Linked DNA regions of Saccharomyces cerevisiae S288C. The gene in region 1 interacts genetically with each later gene. Each region holds a gene or a part of one and is shown on either strand. Other genes may lie near its edges.

Region 1 (5,097 bases):
GAGCCCATCAGTTATGTAACGAAGGTTACCAGATATATTTTGATGGATTGGTTACTACTGTATGGTCGGCGCCAAACTATTGTTATCGGTGCGGCAATAAAGCATCTATTCTGGAGCTGTATAGTAAAGATCAATTCTACTTCAACGTTTTCGAAGAGGCACCTGAAAATAAACTGTTGAAAGAGAACAGTATGAACGACAATGCCTTAGAAGATAGCATATCTAATCCGGTAGCCAACAGGAAATTGATTGCAGATTATTTCGAAGACGACTCTGCCTCCGCAGATGGCTCCACGGACCCTGAAATGTACATATTTTCAGATGTATACCAAGCCAGATCTGCTTCTAACAGACATGTTGATTACTTCTTGTAGCTTACTAAACAATAGAAAAGCATTATAGAGACAACGCCATCTTATTATTTCTACATATTCTATCTCTCTCGGTTGCAAATGTATGTATTGTGTATTTAGATCAAAAAAAAAAAAACAGCGCATTTTCTACAGGTAATACAGCTCCAAATTTGTCTGATCATGTACCTCATAATCTTCCAGAGAGATATGGTCTTTTAAAACACTTCCACCCTTCTGCAACACAATTTTGTTTGGTTGGGTGCCAATTTGCAAGGACAATACTTTTTTGAAATCACCTACACTATCTTCAGCAAGGCACTTCACTCTGACTTTTTTGCCTAATCGGTCATTCACAACTACCTCAATCATTTTCAGAGTATTTATTTGCAATCTAAGCTTTGCCACCGCTCCTCTTTCTCAATCTTTTCCTCTCCCTCCTCATCTCTCTCAGCCAAAACCGCGAATATATAAAAACAAGCAAGTCTCCCGTAGAACTTTTACACGATGACCTTTCGAGATTTCACAAGGGGGATAAAGGAATGCTGTCCGATACAATTGACACAAAGCAACAACAGCAACAGCTTCATGTCCTGTTCATAGACTCTTATGATTCATTCACCTACAATGTAGTGAGACTAATTGAACAACAAACTGATATCTCACCGGGAGTCAACGCCGTGCACGTGACGACGGTACATAGTGATACGTTCCAATCTATGGATCAGCTATTGCCACTTTTGCCGCTTTTTGATGCTATCGTTGTTGGCCCAGGACCTGGGAATCCCAACAATGGTGCACAAGATATGGGTATAATATCTGAGCTTTTCGAGAATGCCAATGGAAAGTTAGATGAAGTTCCAATATTGGGTATATGTCTTGGGTTCCAAGCAATGTGCTTGGCTCAAGGTGCTGATGTCAGTGAGCTAAATACTATCAAGCATGGGCAAGTGTATGAAATGCATTTAAACGATGCAGCCAGAGCTTGTGGCCTTTTTTCTGGTTATCCCGATACGTTCAAATCTACGAGGTACCATTCATTGCATGTCAATGCCGAAGGCATTGACACCCTTTTGCCCTTATGCACAACCGAAGATGAGAACGGTATTCTTTTGATGAGTGCTCAAACGAAAAATAAGCCATGGTTTGGCGTACAGTACCACCCGGAGTCATGTTGTTCAGAATTGGGGGGGCTGTTAGTCAGTAACTTTCTCAAGTTGAGTTTCATAAATAACGTGAAGACAGGAAGGTGGGAAAAGAAGAAACTTAATGGAGAGTTTTCCGATATCCTATCTCGATTGGATAGGACTATTGATAGAGACCCCATATACAAGGTAAAAGAGAAATATCCGAAGGGCGAGGACACAACTTACGTTAAGCAGTTCGAGGTCTCTGAAGACCCGAAATTGACATTTGAAATTTGCAACATCATACGAGAAGAAAAATTTGTCATGTCATCTTCTGTGATTAGTGAAAATACGGGTGAATGGTCTATCATTGCTTTACCAAACTCCGCATCCCAGGTATTCACTCATTATGGAGCTATGAAAAAGACTACAGTTCATTATTGGCAAGATAGTGAAATTAGTTACACCTTGTTGAAAAAGTGTCTAGATGGTCAAGATTCGGATTTGCCTGGCTCCCTTGAGGTAATACATGAAGATAAATCCCAATTTTGGATCACTTTGGGTAAATTTATGGAGAATAAAATAATCGATAACCACAGAGAAATACCTTTTATTGGAGGTCTTGTTGGCATTTTAGGTTATGAAATAGGTCAGTACATTGCATGCGGCCGTTGCAATGATGATGAGAATTCCCTTGTTCCCGACGCCAAACTAGTTTTTATCAACAATAGTATAGTCATTAATCACAAGCAAGGGAAGCTTTATTGTATTTCTCTGGATAATACATTTCCAGTGGCATTAGAACAATCATTAAGGGACAGTTTTGTTAGAAAGAAGAATATTAAGCAATCCCTGTCCTGGCCCAAGTATCTTCCAGAGGAGATAGACTTCATTATAACTATGCCCGATAAACTTGACTACGCTAAGGCGTTTAAGAAATGTCAGGATTATATGCATAAGGGTGATTCTTATGAAATGTGTCTCACAACGCAAACCAAAGTTGTACCATCTGCGGTGATAGAACCCTGGAGGATTTTCCAGACCTTGGTACAAAGAAACCCGGCTCCATTTTCAAGTTTTTTTGAGTTTAAAGACATTATTCCCCGCCAAGATGAAACGCCTCCAGTTTTGTGCTTCTTAAGTACTTCTCCAGAAAGGTTTTTGAAGTGGGATGCAGACACATGCGAGCTACGTCCCATCAAGGGAACTGTGAAAAAAGGACCGCAAATGAACTTGGCAAAAGCCACACGAATCCTGAAGACACCAAAAGAATTTGGTGAGAACTTAATGATTTTGGACTTAATCAGAAATGACCTTTACGAGTTGGTTCCTGACGTTCGGGTGGAGGAGTTCATGTCCGTGCAAGAATATGCCACCGTTTACCAACTCGTTAGCGTCGTAAAGGCACATGGATTGACCTCTGCCAGTAAGAAGACGAGATATTCAGGCATTGATGTCCTTAAACACTCGCTTCCTCCGGGATCTATGACGGGAGCCCCCAAGAAGATTACTGTGCAATTATTGCAGGACAAGATAGAAAGCAAGCTAAACAAACATGTCAATGGTGGAGCACGTGGTGTTTACAGCGGTGTCACGGGATATTGGTCTGTGAATTCCAACGGAGATTGGTCTGTTAACATTAGATGTATGTATTCCTACAACGGCGGAACCAGCTGGCAACTCGGTGCAGGGGGGGCCATAACAGTCTTAAGCACACTAGATGGCGAACTAGAGGAAATGTACAACAAGTTGGAGAGCAACTTACAAATTTTCATGTAGATATTTGTATATTATTAGATATGTATGCAAACATTTTCTTTAGAATAATATACTATTCTTGTACGATGCAGAATTTTTTTTTTTTTTCGCTTTAGGAAAATGACGTTTTGTGCCGTGGAAAACCCTGGAAAAGGATATTGGAAAAAAGTTAAAGCATGGTCATTTAGGGAAGACTTTCCTTCCAATTTACTTATCAATAGGTTATAATGTATGCTTGACGGAGCAGAATTCTTTCAAACCATAAGATAATAGATATTATAACATTTTAGTACATAAAAGAGGCCCGAGAAAATAGATTTTAACTGGAATAATTTTTTGCAAGATGACAACAACCGTACCTAAAGTGTTTGCATTCCATGAATTTGCAGGAGTAGCTGAGGCAGTTGCCGATCATGTTATTCACGCACAAAACTCTGCCCTTAAGAAGGGCAAAGTCTCAAGGTCCACACAGATGTCCGGAACGAGCCTTAACGGAAATGGTAACACAGAATCCAAAACGATGGAGAGAGTAAATTCTGTAAGGAGTAATGCCTCCAGCCGTGGTGGTAGTGAAGACGGCGCCACTAAGAAATTGAAAAAGGAGAAAGAAAGGCGCTTCAAGATTGCGTTGTCCGGTGGTTCGTTAATCCAAGTGTTGCACGAAGGATTGTTGAAAAGAGACGACGTTCAATGGGGTAAATGGGACATTTACTTTGCTGATGAAAGACTAGTGCCCTTTAGCTCCAGTGAAAGCAATTACGGTCTTGCTAAGAGAAAAATATTCGATTTAATAGATACGGAGAAGTACGGAACTCCGAAAATTTATCACATTGATGAGTCATTGATTAACGACCCTCAAGAGTGTGCAGATAACTATGAGAAAATTCTAATTAAAGGATTTGCCGGTAGAGATTCTGTGAAACTACCGATGTTTGATCTGTTTCTGCTTGGCTGCGCTCCTGACGGTCACATAGCCTCGTTATTCCCCAATTTTCAAGAGAATCTACGTGAAAATCTGGCATGGGTCATACCTGTAGAAAATGCACCCAGCGGACCTTCGAATAGGATTTCACTGACCATCCCAGTGATTTGTCACTCTCATAGAGTCACCTTTGTTGTAGAGGGCGCCACAAAGGCGCCTGTAATCAAGACAATAATGGAAAGGCCTGAAAAGGGATTGCCTAGTAGTATTGTCAATGAGGGCGCCGCCGGTCGTGTTTCATGGTTTGTAGACGACGATGCTTTGAAAGATGTCTTTGTAATTAAGAAGAAGTACAAGTTTTATGATGATGAGAATTTGACTGAGTAGGTGTTTAATTTTTTGGGTTCTTTTTCTTTCTGATGATAATGACAACTAATGACAATACTATGATTTAACCTTAACCATTTTCTTTTTTTAGCTCTTTCTATCCCCACCCTTCCCTTTAGTAATCGCAATAAATCACCCTATGTTTTTGAATTTTCTCGAGAAGTAACTTTATATAAAACAAGTCATCTTAGTGACGTAGTGTGCATATATAACATACAACATATATAATATATACAATAACCCTTTAGAAAAAAATAATAACAACCACAGTGGATATTTCCCTTTTGGACCTATGGCTTCCGCTAAGAGAAAAGCATGCTTTTAAGTTTTCTTTTCTTTCAAGGAGATTATTTGGTCTTAAGCGAAGTGAGAGATTGAAACAAAATGTTAATTACAGAGTTTACGAAGAATCAGTTTGCAAGACCACCTTATTCGTATGGCATTATCAAGCTTTGTGTGTAGACTATCCACACAAACATGATTCAACATACATAGCAGTGGTAGGTATACAACGGATATAAAAACCTTAACTCTACGTGTAGAAAATGTAAAA
Region 2 (17,054 bases), on another chromosome or scaffold:
AATTTAAATGCCGACAATACCACGGCAAACAAAATTAACAAAACAGGTGAGAATTCTAAGAAAGGCAAGGTTGACGGTAAAAGAGCCGGATTTGATCATCAGACTTCAAGGACTTCTCAGTCCTCACAAAAATACTTTACAGCGCTCACAATAACAGATGTGCAAAGTTTAGTCCAAGTGAAACCGTTGAAGGATACCCCCAACTACCTTTTCACTAAAAACTTCATCATTTTTAGAGATCATTATCTTTTCAAGTTCTATAATATTTTGCACGATATCTGCCATATTAATCAGTTCAAAGTAAGTCCTCCTAACAATAAAAATCACCAACAATATATGGAAGTTTGCAAAGTTAACTTCCCACCAAAAGCAATAATTATTGAGACACTAAACTCTGAATCCCTTAACAATCTGAATATTGAAGAATTTTTGCCAATCTTTGACAAAACCCTCTTACTAGAATTTGTTCATAACTCTTTTCCAAATGGTGATACCTGTCCTTCATTCTCAACGGTCGATCTTCCTTTATCTCAACTGACCAAACTAGGCGAATTAACTGTGCTTCTACTGTTGTTAAACGATTCAATGACCCTATTCAATAAGCAGGCTATTAATAACCATGTTTCGGCATTAATGAATAATTTGAGGTTGATTCGAAGCCAAATCACATTGATAAACCTGGAATATTATGACCAAGAGACAATCAAATTTATTGCCATCACAAAATTTTATGAATCTCTGTACATGCATGATGATCATAAATCAAGTTTAGACGAAGATTTGAGCTGTCTGTTAAGCTTCCAGATAAAAGATTTCAAGTTATTCCATTTTTTGAAAAAAATGTATTACTCAAGACATTCGCTTCTAGGTCAGTCTTCATTCATGGTACCCGCTGCTGAAAACCTATCTCCGATACCTGCCTCTATTGATACGAACGACATTCCTTTAATTGCTAACGATTTAAAATTACTGGAAACGCAAGCAAAATTGATAAATATTCTGCAAGGTGTTCCTTTCTACTTGCCAGTAAATTTAACCAAAATTGAAAGTCTGTTAGAAACCTTGACTATGGGCGTGAGTAATACAGTAGACTTATATTTTCATGACAACGAAGTCAGAAAAGAATGGAAAGACACTTTAAATTTTATCAATACCATTGTTTATACAAATTTTTTCCTTTTTGTTCAAAACGAATCCTCTTTGTCCATGGCAGTTCAACATTCTTCTAACAACAATAAGACCTCGAACTCTGAAAGATGTGCAAAGGATCTGATGAAAATTATTTCTAATATGCACATTTTTTACTCAATAACATTTAATTTTATCTTCCCCATAAAGTCGATAAAGTCATTTTCAAGCGGCAATAATCGCTTTCATTCTAATGGTAAAGAATTTTTATTCGCAAATCATTTTATTGAAATCTTACAGAATTTTATAGCAATCACATTTGCTATTTTCCAACGTTGTGAAGTAATATTATATGACGAATTTTACAAAAATCTTTCAAATGAGGAGATTAATGTTCAATTGCTATTGATTCATGACAAGATTTTGGAAATTTTAAAAAAAATAGAAATTATCGTATCCTTTTTACGAGATGAAATGAATAGCAACGGAAGTTTCAAATCTATTAAAGGTTTCAACAAGGTTTTGAATCTGATTAAATATATGCTGAGATTTAGCAAGAAAAAACAAAATTTTGCGAGAAACTCTGATAACAATAATGTTACAGATTATAGTCAGTCGGCGAAGAACAAAAATGTTCTCTTGAAATTCCCCGTTAGTGAACTGAACAGAATCTATTTAAAATTTAAGGAGATTTCAGATTTTTTAATGGAAAGAGAAGTTGTCCAAAGGAGTATAATTATTGACAAGGATTTGGAATCTGATAATCTGGGTATTACTACGGCAAACTTCAACGATTTCTATGATGCATTTTATAATTAGTAAGCCGATCCCATTACCGACATTTGGGCGCTATACGTGCATATGTTCATGTATGTATCTGTATTTAAAACACTTTTGTATTATTTTTCCTCATATATGTGTATAGGTTTATACGGATGATTTAATTATTACTTCACCACCCTTTATTTCAGGCTGATATCTTAGCCTTGTTACTAGTTAGAAAAAGACATTTTTGCTGTCAGTCACTGTCAAGAGATTCTTTTGCTGGCATTTCTTCTAGAAGCAAAAAGAGCGATGCGTCTTTTCCGCTGAACCGTTCCAGCAAAAAAGACTACCAACGCAATATGGATTGTCAGAATCATATAAAAGAGAAGCAAATAACTCCTTGTCTTGTATCAATTGCATTATAATATCTTCTTGTTAGTGCAATATCATATAGAAGTCATCGAAATAGATATTAAGAAAAACAAACTGTACAATCAATCAATCAATCATCACATAAAATGTTCAGCGAATTAATTAACTTCCAAAATGAAGGTCATGAGTGCCAATGCCAATGTGGTAGCTGCAAAAATAATGAACAATGCCAAAAATCATGTAGCTGCCCAACGGGGTGTAACAGCGACGACAAATGCCCCTGCGGTAACAAGTCTGAAGAAACCAAGAAGTCATGCTGCTCTGGGAAATGAAACGAATAGTCTTTAATATATTCATCTAACTATTTGCTGTTTTTAATTTTTAAAAGGAGAAGGAAGTTTAATCGACGATTCTACTCAGTTTGAGTACACTTATGTATTTTGTTTAGATACTTTGTTAATTTATAGGTATACGTTAATAATTAAGAAAAGGAAATAAAGTATCTCCATATGTCGCCCCAAGAATAAAATATTATTACCAAATTCTAGTTTGCCTAACTTACAACTCTGTATAGAATCCCCAGATTTCGAATAAAAAAAAAAAAAAAAGCTATTCATGGTACCCGCTGCTGAAAACCTATCTCCGATACCTGCCTCTATTGATACGAACGACATTCCTTTAATTGCTAACGATTTAAAATTACTGGAAACGCAAGCAAAATTGATAAATATTCTGCAAGGTGTTCCTTTCTACTTGCCAGTAAATTTAACCAAAATTGAAAGTCTGTTAGAAACCTTGACTATGGGCGTGAGTAATACAGTAGACTTATATTTTCATGACAACGAAGTCAGAAAAGAATGGAAAGACACTTTAAATTTTATCAATACCATTGTTTATACAAATTTTTTCCTTTTTGTTCAAAACGAATCCTCTTTGTCCATGGCAGTTCAACATTCTTCTAACAACAATAAGACCTCGAACTCTGAAAGATGTGCAAAGGATCTGATGAAAATTATTTCTAATATGCACATTTTTTACTCAATAACATTTAATTTTATCTTCCCCATAAAGTCGATAAAGTCATTTTCAAGCGGCAATAATCGCTTTCATTCTAATGGTAAAGAATTTTTATTCGCAAATCATTTTATTGAAATCTTACAGAATTTTATAGCAATCACATTTGCTATTTTCCAACGTTGTGAAGTAATATTATATGACGAATTTTACAAAAATCTTTCAAATGAGGAGATTAATGTTCAATTGCTATTGATTCATGACAAGATTTTGGAAATTTTAAAAAAAATAGAAATTATCGTATCCTTTTTACGAGATGAAATGAATAGCAACGGAAGTTTCAAATCTATTAAAGGTTTCAACAAGGTTTTGAATCTGATTAAATATATGCTGAGATTTAGCAAGAAAAAACAAAATTTTGCGAGAAACTCTGATAACAATAATGTTACAGATTATAGTCAGTCGGCGAAGAACAAAAATGTTCTCTTGAAATTCCCCGTTAGTGAACTGAACAGAATCTATTTAAAATTTAAGGAGATTTCAGATTTTTTAATGGAAAGAGAAGTTGTCCAAAGGAGTATAATTATTGACAAGGATTTGGAATCTGATAATCTGGGTATTACTACGGCAAACTTCAACGATTTCTATGATGCATTTTATAATTAGTAAGCCGATCCCATTACCGACATTTGGGCGCTATACGTGCATATGTTCATGTATGTATCTGTATTTAAAACACTTTTGTATTATTTTTCCTCATATATGTGTATAGGTTTATACGGATGATTTAATTATTACTTCACCACCCTTTATTTCAGGCTGATATCTTAGCCTTGTTACTAGTTAGAAAAAGACATTTTTGCTGTCAGTCACTGTCAAGAGATTCTTTTGCTGGCATTTCTTCTAGAAGCAAAAAGAGCGATGCGTCTTTTCCGCTGAACCGTTCCAGCAAAAAAGACTACCAACGCAATATGGATTGTCAGAATCATATAAAAGAGAAGCAAATAACTCCTTGTCTTGTATCAATTGCATTATAATATCTTCTTGTTAGTGCAATATCATATAGAAGTCATCGAAATAGATATTAAGAAAAACAAACTGTACAATCAATCAATCAATCATCACATAAAATGTTCAGCGAATTAATTAACTTCCAAAATGAAGGTCATGAGTGCCAATGCCAATGTGGTAGCTGCAAAAATAATGAACAATGCCAAAAATCATGTAGCTGCCCAACGGGGTGTAACAGCGACGACAAATGCCCCTGCGGTAACAAGTCTGAAGAAACCAAGAAGTCATGCTGCTCTGGGAAATGAAACGAATAGTCTTTAATATATTCATCTAACTATTTGCTGTTTTTAATTTTTAAAAGGAGAAGGAAGTTTAATCGACGATTCTACTCAGTTTGAGTACACTTATGTATTTTGTTTAGATACTTTGTTAATTTATAGGTATACGTTAATAATTAAGAAAAGGAAATAAAGTATCTCCATATGTCGCCCCAAGAATAAAATATTATTACCAAATTCTAGTTTGCCTAACTTACAACTCTGTATAGAATCCCCAGATTTCGAATAAAAAAAAAGCATATGTATTAATCCTAAAATGTATTATGAGAACGTCTTTTAAAGGTAAAATGCTGTTATCCCCGTCACTTTCAATGATCTATTTATTTGAAGCGGATAGTACAACAGATCAGTCTAAAACGTATAAGCTCTTAGACCGAGAAACCAATATTCAAATAATGACTTTATTTTTAATATACACTTCAAACATATATAGATATATACATATGCACCGCACTCTATGAAATTCAAATTTTTTTCTTCACAAGAAAAAAATGAGAGAAAAGATAGATAAGGAGGAAACAAATTAACTTTTAGCCTTCTTGACAGCTTCTGACTCGCTAGATTCTTTTTCAAGCTCGCTAGAAGATCTCTTTTTTGCATTGTTAATTTGTTTAGAGAAAATTGAACCCAATTCGGAAGGATTGGCGATTTCCATCAAACCCTTGTTGAAGGTAGACAAATGAACTTGTACACCATCAATGGTGACCATGTCATCTTCGTGGGTTTCTTCGATTTTGTCCTTTTTAGCTTCAAGTTCATCAAGAACGTCCTGGTTATAGTATAATGGCAATACGGGCGACCTATTGGTCTTGATAAAAATGGATCTGATTTGGTATGCTTTGATTAACTGTTCAGAAATTAATTCAACGTTATCTACAAACTCTTCTGGCCTTAACCATTCTAAATTACCCAAATGGACATTCAACGTGGTACCTCTTGGAAGTTTAACGGGCAACTGATTCATGTAAACCTTTTTGATATTGTTCGTCAAAGTGGTCAAGGAAAATTCCTTATTTGCATGTGTTCTAATTGATATAGGAGTAGTTTCTACTTTGTTGTAGGCTTTGCCTCCCATAAGTTTTGGCAAAGATGTAACTATACTGTCGTCAGCCAAAATCAAAGAAAACTGAGATATAAAAGCGTTTCTAGCCTCATATGCCTTGTAAACGGTCTTTAAGTCTTTCCCGCAAATGATTTCATCAACCTTGATTCCTTCTGAATCTAATTGATCAAATAAATCATCTTCTGAAACTTTCTTAATATCAGAATCCTTCAAAATTAATAAAACTTTGAAATCCTTAACCGCTGTTGCACTGGCTTCTTTCCAAGGCTTGTAAAACGAATGTTTGACATTTAGTAATTTCAATTTGAATGATTTGGAAGTACCGGTGAATGATTTATTATTTACTACGATTAATTGCAGATCTTTCTTCAATTCTTCTTCATCATCTTCCAATAGGTTTTTCTTACCGTTATTTCCTTCTTCATTATTTTCATCTTGTGGCTTGGAAGTGAATTTTATAAGCTCGTTGACAGCTTTAATAACTCTTTCCCTAGGAATGGCTGTGGAAGATTTCTTTTCAATAACCTTCTTCTTTTCTTTGCTTGGTGTACTTACAGGCGTAGATTTCTTTGAGTTACTCTTTTTAGCCATTTTATACTTTATAGTCTGGAACGTAGGTTTATCTGCCTGCTGTCTAATATTTCTTATAAAACAGACACTATTCTTTATGCAGTATACAAACGCTTTTTGTTACTTTTCAAAATTTGCGATGAGCTCCAGTGGAAAAATTTTTTTCAGGAAATTGTCTTTAATTTTTTTAGTATGAAGTGACATCAACTTCACATTTATTGACGCAACGGTGAAGCACAGAATAGAATAGTAATTCTTTAATGGTATATTCTAGGTTTTTGTTTTTTATATAGTTATTTATTGTTTTATTATTTTTCCCATTCTTCTTTCCTGAAATAGAACACAAAAAAGCTACTAACAAAGGATATTAAAGGTAATCTGTGACCAGCCCTCATTACCAAAAATAAAGTTTGTTCAAGTAATAGAGTAGAGAAAACAAAGTGGAAATCATAATGGTTAAATTTAAATATTTTTCTTTTACTTTTCTTATTTCACCTCTTGTGATCTTATCGTTGATTTTGATATATTAGTTTCTGAGTGGATGAATATCCATAAAGGGTAAAACAAATAATAAGGTAAAAGGGAAGAAAAAAAAAAAATAAAAACTAAAATCGTTTTACAAAATAAATACGAATCTTATTTCAAATTGAGGAATTTTCCACAAATAAAAAAAGGACAACAAATTACAGACGTTGTGTGGTAGCTTTTTCCTTATTATTAAGAAGAGCTTGGAAATAGCTCTTCCTTTAAGGGAACGCCCAATTCTTGTCTGACATCCTTCAATTCATCCAAGTAGGCCTTGTATTGGTCTTCATTCTCCACCTTGTATTTCAAAGCCTCAAATACTCTAATTGCGGTAGGTAAGTCATTGACTCTTCTGGCAGCCCTCAAAGCTTTTTCAATAACAGCAGGAGCAGGAACTAAATCATAGGAAAAACAGTTGTTGAGCACTCTTTGCACTTCAAACAAATCATAGGCTTCATCAAACTCCTTTTCGTATCTTGCGGTGAATTCCTCAAAGGTTTCTTCATCATGTGCGTCAGAATACTTCCTACTTTGAATAAACGTATTTTTAGTCAATCTAGTTGCATGATAAGCACCAGGTCTGGCTCTCAATAAAGTTCTATTTATAACTGGATTTCTGAATATGGCCCTTGATAACATTGTTGTATATTTATTAGTTTATGTGTCAAATACAATTGTTCGGCTGTTTATCTCCGCTACTAAGTCTCAGAAGTGATACAATTTTTCAAATTGTAATAATAAATAAGTGTGCTAAAATGTGGATGAAATGTAAAGAAATGAGGTAACCTTGAGATCTGGCACCTTGATAAGCAAGAGCAATTGTTGATCTTTATTAATGCTTTGACCGGACCAATTAGGTCCCTTTTCATAGGGAGATTCAAAGAAAGCTGTAAGCGGCGGAAATAACGCGCGGGGCCCTGATTGGCTCGTATGGAGCGATACGGCCATCAGTATAGCCTAACACCAACTTTTTGATTGGAATTTTCTGTTATTATTCTTGGATAAAATGTATACTTATACTAGTCTAAAGAATTGTTATATTAGAGGTGTACTTCTTTGCCCGTAGTAAAGCCCAGTAACATATAAAAGTTCAGTCCGGAGATAATCAACCATACTATGATTGCGAGCACGGTGACGATCATTCCATTGCTCATGTCTTTGTATTCTGGAGCAGGAGAAACTAAGCTGCGCTCCTGTGAGCTGCTGCCTATGCCCATTTCTTCGAGCTCAATGGTCTCATCATCTTCGGTTCGGTCGGCCACGGGTTTTTTGTCTGTAGTTCTTGAAAGTTCTTTGGTACGGTTAAGCTGTACACGCATAATCTTCTTGCTTGAAGTGAAGTAAAGTAAAGGTGCAGAAACAAAAGGCAGCAAGAGAGAAAGTACCACTTGGGAAGCATTTAGTGCACCAGAGAGGCCGCTACGTCCAGCTACAAGCACTAAAATCAAACAAGGCGTGATGGCTACCGCTCTTGTGGCGGATCTTCTCAATGCCGGAGAAACAGTCCAATTTAAGAACCCTTCACTAACCATTTGTCCACTCAACGTACACACGATACCGGCACTCTGTCCTGAAAACAACAATGCCAGCACGAATACCGTTCCCGCTCCCTTGGAAAGAGTACTACAGAGTAAGTTGTAAATAGAAAATAAGTCAGCTTCCTCAGCATTTTGAGTGGACCCGTATAGTGTAGCGCCAGACACGATAAGAATGGCACAATTGACAAATAATGCCACCGTGAACAGCGAGATCAGTAATTCCGTTATAGTAAAGTGCAGAGTTTCACTGATGGCCTCATAGGATGGCCTGTAATTATCGTGATTGTTATCCATATCATTCGCGTCTGGCAAGTAATGTCCGTTTTTGATATCATACTCTCTTAATCTTGGTTGAACCACACCTGACCCCAAATATAATGAATGAGGCATTACCGTGGCGCCCAGAATTGCCAGACTTAAGTATAACCCATCACCTTCAAAAACGGCTTTACTGGGTAAGAACCCAGAAAATATTTCTTTGGCAGGTCCCAGTTTGGCATAAAACAGTTCAACAGTAAAGCAAACTACGGTAAGAACCACCAATAAAGAAACAAAAGCTTCAAATATTCTGATACCCTTCATGGAACCGTTAGGTTTGTAAGCTAGCAGAACAATTAAAACGTCTACCACAGTAAGTATCACACCTAGGGCGAGAGGTATATGGAAAAGGATATTCAAAGAAATAGCGGTTCCTACCACTTCTGCCAGATCTGTGGCAATAATTGCCATCTCCGCCAGAATATAAAGAGTAATGTTAAGTCCAAAGGGCAAATGTTTCTTACAATTTTGTGCCAGATCTAGGCCAGTGACAGCACCCAATCTGGCGCAGAGGTACTGCCAAAAAGCAGCCATGAAATTAGAAACTAAGACAGAAAATAAAAGCTTGTACCGATGAGCAGAACCCGCTGCTACAGCTGTACTATAGTTACCAGGATCCATGTACGATACAGATACCATCAAACCAGGACCGATGAACCTAGCATATTTTCTCAATGTTCCGATCATGCTCTGGGATGTTGAGTTTGGCTGCAAAGTTGTTCTTCGACGCGACTCATGAGTGGTATTCACGTCGGCATACGCATCGTTGACACTATCATTATTTGTTTGGGATTCATCGCTCCATTGAATAGGTTCATATTCTTGGGACGTCATCAAACATAAACGCTATACGGAAAATTAGTGGTTAAATGGCAATAGAGATGTGCTAATATTAGTATCAAAACAAATAGTTGTTGAAGAGGGTTTTCTAAACGGTTAAACGCGTTTGATGGTTAAATGACTAGAAGCAAAAGGAGACTGATTCTGAAATTTAATATGATTTCTTTTTTTTCTGCTGTTTCTCTTCTGCATTATTTTCTTCCTTCGAGAAAGAGTATAAGTATGTTTAAAAAGGTCTTCGTAAGCCACGCTAAAGCACCCCGGGTGGATTTTTCGCGCCGGGCGGGGTTAGCAGCACGCAGGATGGAAGAGAAGAGAAAGGATGCTACAAACTTGTGGTTCATTCTATACAAAGTACTTATATGTATATATACATACTCGATCAGCATTTCACTCCACACACCCTGCGTGTGATAGTAAAAAGCTAGAAAGCAGGTAAGCAACAACCTACGATTTATTCAGAAGCTTCTTGTAAGGAAGAGGTTATTTGTTCAACAATTGGTCTGATAATGTCCTTCTTGTTTGGAACCATATGTCCACCAGGGTGTTCGTAAGCCAACACCTTTTCCTTATTACCATTTTGCGCCTTCAAATAAATATCGTACAGGTACTTGGATCTGACGGATGGGACGGCTTGGTCAGAAGCACCATAGATGAAGATCATCTTGGTCTTCATGTCTGGTTTTACCGCAAATGAGTCTCTGAATTTTTCGGTTATTCTCAATTCTCCAGGATGTTCTGGGTCTGGCTCGGTGAAGGAATAGCCGGAAATGACTACACTTACCTTGAATTGTGGATGGTCTGGAACTAACTCTGAGATCTTGTTGGTGATGATAGAGGACAATGCGGCACCTTGAGAGAAACCGACAATGCCGTCGTATGGGCCATTGGCCTTGATGTGATCAACAACAGACTTCAAACCTTCTGAGATATCCAATTCGTGAGAGATTTCGCTGTGATAGAACCAGGCTCTGTTAACATCCGCATCTAGGGTGGCTTGCCATTTTTCATCATCCATTTCAAATGGCAAGTCCTTCTTTTCTAAAAGGACTGGTGCATCAATATAGTCACATTGGACATTAGCCTTCTTCAATAATTTTCTAATACCAGATGATTTTTCGGAGAAAACTTTACCGTTTTGCAAGAAGCCGTGTAAAAATAATAATTTTGGAATTTGTACAGTCATCCTTCGTTTATTACAAGCTAGAGAGTTTCAGATTTAGCTGCTACTTTTACTAGAAAATTAAGATTGGCCGCGTACATCTGGCATTTTGCACCTTTATGGTTTATATACAATATACATTGCAGCCAAAAACATTCGAAAACTAGAGAAAAAGAAAGAAAACATGCGAGAATATGCAAAAATGAAAAAATGCAAAATTTCTTTTTTCTTTGGCCTATGCGTGTTGCCTTTTGAAGATCCGAAACAATCTATCACCAATGACGTAAGCGGGAAAAGATTATGCAACATCCAAAGGAAAAAATATGCAAAAAAATCAATCATCCCATGCATACGGCGACTTGGCTCTCAGTCGGGCACCGTATTTGGTAAACAGAAATGGGACAGGAATCATCGCTACGGTCACCATTGCCAAGAGAAAGCCGGCCCAATTCACTCCCATTGACTTGTACATCTGGAGTCCGAAAAGAGGGAAGACACCGGCCATTATGCATCTCACAAATGTGTTACAAGCCATTCCAGAAGCTGCATATCTTCTATAGGCATCCACTGTATACGCAAAAACACCGGTAAAGACGAAATAAACACCTGAACCGAAAATTGCACTGCCTATAATTGGTGCAATCCAATGGACATGCTTGTAGCAGGTGAATGCAAAAATGAAGAGCCCAACTGGGGTCAAAAAGGCGCCGTAGAACAGAGGCTCGAATCTCATTTCGGGAGTCTTGACGCCATTATTTCTTTTGACTCTCCACTCAAACGTTTTTTGGAATAACAAGCAAGTAGGAGCCGAGAGTATCATGCCGACCATAATACCGATATAGGAGCATGCAATCTCCATGGGCCCAAAGTTGTAAAGTTTCTTGAACACATAAGGAAACGCTACGAAATATAAATATATTATGGCAAGTTCCAATCCAGTATAGAAGCAAAGCACACCCATCATTCGGTCTCGAAGTAACAGGCCAAAGGGTCTTTTGGTTGAGAGAAAGATTGCGGAAAGTAAGGAAGTCTGTTCGCGGGTGACTTCCAGGACAGCATAATACCGTTGATCATTTTTCTCTTTCCTCAATCTCTTAGCTTTACGTATTAACAGCATTGGTTTGTAGGTTTCAGGTATGGTAAAGATGATCATAACGAGACAACATCCAGAAGTGATGAGAAGTGTGATAAATGTCCATTTATAACTTTGATGGTATAAGGCTCCACCAATGATTGGTCCTAAAGAGGGCCCCAAAAAGGCCGATGTAGTGTATATTGCCATAGGAATACCAATTTGGTCTTTGTCGAATATATCGGCAATGGCGCCGCCAGCCACACTTAGAAAGGCTGAACCAAAAAACCCGGATAGAAATCTGCCAAACATGACACCCGTAATGGTCTTGGACCAAATGGTCAAACACTGCCATATGATACTGAGCGTAAGGGCGTATAAAAATGTGATCCTTCGTCCATATAGTTCACTTAGTGGAGACAGAAATAAAGGTCCTATACCGAGCCCAAACACATAAAGCGTAATTCCCAGAGTGCTGACTTCGTGCGAAATATGAAAGTGTTCGATTATGTGCGTTGAAGGAAGCGTCCAGCTGGACGAGATCATCGTAATTACCATCGATGTGAATGTAATTAACGAGGAAATATAATACCGGCGGGCGGTGCTCATATGCCGTGCTATATCTTCTGGGTCCGCGATGTCCTCGTTGAAGGTCACTTCATGCGATTGTTTGCCGTCATTTTTTCGTTCACTGGTCAATTCCAGATCCAGTTTTGCGGCTTTGTCTGAGTTTATTGAACAATGCTCTTCTTCAGTAGATGTCAATGCCGATGACTGTGCACTCGCTATTTGAAATTCTGCAACCATATCCTGTTGTTATATCTGCATATATATGTTCTTAGTATACAAGGTGATACCATACACCAAATGTAAGGCAAATATGCCTTTATATAGGGTCCAGGTGAACGTAACGCATCTAATAACAAGTGTTATTGCTTGACCTAATAATCTGAGATGGTCGCTTCACCGGTAGAAAAATTCTCTGCGTATTACTAATCTCAACAATAGCCAACACTAAATCCGTAGGACCGGCGAAAAGCGTGCTAATCTCCGCTTTATTGCCGGATCCGAAAGGTGTTTCTGGCATCAAGATGTTATAAATCACGGAATTAAGAGAAGGATATTAAATGTGCCATTGCATTTTATTGATATTTCCACTCACCCAGAGGGATAATAATGATCAAAACAGATATACAATTCAGCTCCACTTTTACCTGCGCAACATGACATTTCCAGAACTAGCTTACAATTCGTACACCGGTTATAATTGGTTTATGGTTTCCAATGTAGGACCAATTTTTAGAGATAAATACTGAAGCAAATATTGGATTTCTTCTGTGTTTCACACGAAGAATATGAGTGAACCATTATTCCGGCTTTTGTTTCCTACAGCAAGATGTAAGTTATCTGGTTTGCTTATTACTTAGAAAAAGGGCTCCTGCTGGTGGAGGTAAATTAGATTATGCACCTATCGGCGGGTTAGCGTTGGGCCGTAGCCTTTTGGTCGCTTGCATTTACCACGTATTTTTTCCTTTCAATTTATTATAAGCTTAGAGATACGATTTCAAGGCGCAGCTCTTCTGTTAGCAGTTTTCTCTACGACTTTGTATGAGGTTCATCTCATTTTGTTAGCTTCTATTCACATACCTACTATAACACTAATCCTGCTATGGTTCAGACCCAAATATCTTCAACCCCTGCCATAGGAACTGTAAAAAATAGATTGTAATTCAAAGTACCTTCAGAAAAAAAAAGTTATATACGGCGCATACTACACAGTACGCAATGTGTCACTTGGTACCGCTGTTCTTATGTTCGTTTAAACAAGATCTCGAGGTTTGAGTCAATGTACGAGATTTTGAAACCATGAGGGATGTGCCCTCAAACTTTATGATCTGGTTTCTTTTTTTATTTATATCGTTTTTATGCTGGGTTACGTTGTTGTTTTATATTCCTTGTCTAGTATTACGGTCAGCAGAGGCCAAATCCTATATGCATTATATGTGGTTAGCATTGACTCCTTAATAGAACGGCCAGTTATCAATCAAATTGCCTATAAGCATGGATCACTAGCGGCTAGTATTGTATTGCATTTGGAATAGCCCTCTTCGTTGAGCCACAAAGATATCTTGCGGAAATGTGGCTAAAGCAACTTTTGATGATTGCTGGGAAACGGTTTGGTAAACTGCTGAAGCAATTGTTGTACACAATACTTCTGCTTTTGGCCCCATCTGGATTTTTCATTTCCGCTTTTGCCTCAGGTGCAACAATAACTATCTTTGAGCATCGTACCACCAATACAAAAGGATATGATCGTTATCATACAGAATTTTTCATGGATTTTGCATGTTTCGGTATAACTTTACGTAGGTGAATTATTGAAGGGCTTTGTGATAGGTGTGGATGTACCTGCCGTGCGTTGATGACCTTCAACTGATCGGAACAAATTGCTATTACATGTAAAAATCTCATGTATGAGCGAATCTTTTTGTGTTATAGGCAATCACCTAGAAAAGCTTGGAAATTGGTCCTGAGTTTTTTGTTGATGGTAAGTGCATTTTTTTAGTATGAAAGGTTTACGATATTAGCTGCTAAGTTCTCCCTTGCCCTAGTGAATTACGTTTTTTTCGATTAAAAGGGTTGGTCCCGAAATTGACCTCTTATATGTACCTCAATTGCAGATAGCATCAAATTTAGACTACGTCATCAACCAAATTACACCCTATGAAAAACATAAGATTATAAGCATGCGTTTGTGTAAAGGTCATACCATTTTATACGTTGACGCAATGGTGCAAATAGAAAGGTTTACGAAAGCTCTTATTCCGCTTAGCGCAATTCTATTGTTAATTTCAAGTAAAAAGATAAATATCTCACGTCCTTATATTATCTTTGATTAAAATTTCACGATCAATGTAACGAAAAAAGGTCGCAAATATTTCTTTTTCATCACTCTGATTAAACAATGGCATCATGAAACGCTCATTGGATCGTTACACGTTCTCATTGTACATATGTATGATTTAGAACAGCTTGTTCGCCTGATCTCCACCTTATACCCTCATCTTACCGCAGTGCGGTTTTACGCCTCATGTTATTTTTGCCAGCTTTAATAACAACATCAGTAATATTACGTTATTGGATCTTCCACTCCGGTTCGAGGAAAAAAAGAGAGGAGGAGAAACGCATAAGCTACAATAATGAGTGAGTTAACGCTTTAATTTGCTCAGTGATCATTGCTAGCCGGATATTTGTGTTTTTGTAGAACCCAGCCATACCTAATCATCTCAGTATATTATCTGAATTCTTGACTCAAAATATGGATTTTCTCGAACGTCTCACTTCCAATCATCCCATCAAATGCTGTGGATGAAAACATTTAAAACACGGGCAAGAAAAAATGAGTATAGTATAGTTGTGGCCAGTTCTTGTTGTACTAATGCACTTGCTTTCGTATCAAAGTTGAAGAAGCACTGAAAGAACAACAAAAAATTTATTAAAAGCAAAAATCATTCTACGTTCAACGAAAATGTAAGGCAAATATATCTTTATATAGGCAAGCATAACCGACGCTAACTTTGTTCGAGCTTCATCAACGTTATTAATATCGTAGTTATTCCGCTTTGTCTCAATAAGCTTTTGCTTACTTGAGAAAAAGAACGAAGTTTCTGTTTGAGATTTTCCTTCTCATTTTCTTTGAAATTTAAAGGAGAAATATTCAGCTCTATACATTCTTTGTTCGAGTATGTTACACATCACCTTACAATGGGAACATCCTATGATGACATACTTCTTCTCGATGATTTATTTTTTTTCTCAGCAAACGCTGTTTTCTAGGCGGTGAAAAACGGGAGTCTTCATCCCACATTTTTTGAACTCGTTGTGAAAGTTTTTTTTCGTACTCTTGGACTTGGCTGTGGGAGTTTGACACATTTTTTTATTTTTTTTCCGTTTTTTTCCCTTTTGTTAGCGATCAAACTTTTGACTTTATGAGTAATCTTAGCTAATCATTTAGAATTATCTTCAGGGAAGCTTATTCAATTCGTGATTTTTCTTTGAGGGTTCCTGTTCAAGCAAGCCAAATTGCCCTCTCAGCTAATACCATGTCCCGTGAAGTACTGCCAAACAACGTTACCCCATTGCATTATGACATTACACTAGAACCTAATTTCCGTGCTTTTACGTTTGAAGGGTCATTAAAAATTGACCTGCAGATTAATGATCATTCGATAAACTCTGTGCAAATAAATTACTTAGAAATAGATTTCCATTCTGCACGTATTGAGGGTGTCAATGCCATTGAAGTTAACAAAAACGAAAACCAACAAAAAGCTACTCTTGTCTTTCCTAATGGAACTTTTGAAAACCTAGGACCTTCTGCGAAGTTAGAAATTATCTTTTCCGGTATTCTAAATGATCAGATGGCGGGATTTTACAGGGCTAAGTATACGGATAAAGTCACAGGGGAGACGAAGTACATGGCTACTACTCAGATGGAAGCCACAGATGCTAGAAGAGCCTTTCCTTGTTTTGACGAACCAAATTTGAAGGCGACTTTTGCAGTAACTTTGGTCTCTGAATCGTTTCTGACTCATTTGTCCAACATGGATGTCAGGAATGAAACAATCAAAGAGGGTAAGAAATATACAACTTTTAACACGACTCCAAAGATGTCTACGTACTTAGTAGCATTTATTGTAGCTGACCTGAGATACGTGGAAAGCAATAATTTCCGTATTCCAGTAAGAGTTTATTCTACCCCAGGGGACGAAAAATTTGGTCAGTTTGCAGCCAATTTAGCTGCTAGGACCTTGAGATTCTTTGAGGACACCTTCAACATAGAATATCCATTGCCAAAGATGGATATGGTGGCAGTTCATGAGTTTTCTGCTGGTGCTATGGAAAACTGGGGGCTAGTGACTTATAGAGTTATTGATTTGTTATTAGACATAGAAAATTCGAGTTTAGATCGCATTCAAAGAGTTGCTGAGGTTATTCAGCATGAACTAGCCCACCAATGGTTCGGCAACTTGGTCACCATGGATTGGTGGGAAGGCTTATGGTTGAATGAAGGTTTTGCCACTTGGATGTCTTGGTACTCTTGCAACAAGTTTCAACCAGAATGGAAAGTTTGGGAGCAATATGTTACTGACAATTTACAACGTGCTCTAAATTTAGATTCATTAAGATCTTCCCATCCAATTGAAGTTCCCGTTAATAATGCGGACGAAATCAATCAAATTTTTGATGCTATTTCTTATTCTAAAGGATCTTCTTTATTGAGGATGATTTCCAAATGGTTGGGTGAAGAGACTTTTATTAAAGGTGTGTCCCAATA

The links.
Region 2: mutations in HUB1 (region 1) and CUP1-1 impair growth when combined (synthetic growth defect), as found in Saccharomyces cerevisiae (one study listed by BioGRID).

The regions. Positions count from the first base shown.
Region 1 is NC_001146.8:686,743-691,839, forward strand, and holds HUB1 (ubiquitin-like protein HUB1), read right to left. Parts: upstream 723-5,097; coding exon 501-722; downstream 1-500. Other genes in the region: putative serine/threonine-protein kinase PPG1, read left to right, coding at 1-374; ABZ1 (4-amino-4-deoxychorismate synthase), read left to right, coding at 893-3,256; SOL1 (Sol1p), read left to right, coding at 3,579-4,544. UniProt on the Saccharomyces cerevisiae protein: Forms conjugate with SPH1 and HBT1. Involved in morphogenesis.
Region 2 is NC_001140.6:200,076-217,129, reverse strand, and holds CUP1-1 (metallothionein CUP1-1), read left to right. Parts: upstream 1-4,409; coding exon 4,410-4,595; downstream 4,596-17,054. Other genes in the region: RSC30 (Rsc30p), read left to right, coding at 1-1,947; metallothionein CUP1-2, read left to right, coding at 2,412-2,597; YHR054C-B (uncharacterized protein), read left to right, coding at 2,440-2,613; YHR054C (uncharacterized protein), read left to right, coding at 2,881-3,945; YHR052C-B (uncharacterized protein), read left to right, coding at 4,438-4,611; CIC1 (Cic1p), read right to left, coding at 5,152-6,282; COX6 (cytochrome c oxidase subunit VI), read right to left, coding at 6,979-7,425; YHR050W-A (uncharacterized protein), read right to left, coding at 7,485-7,655; divalent metal ion transporter SMF2, read right to left, coding at 7,827-9,476; FSH1 (putative serine hydrolase), read right to left, coding at 9,937-10,668; and 2 more. UniProt on the Saccharomyces cerevisiae protein: Protects the cell against copper toxicity by tightly chelating copper ions. May also act as a depository for copper designated for the effective transfer into the apo forms of copper proteins.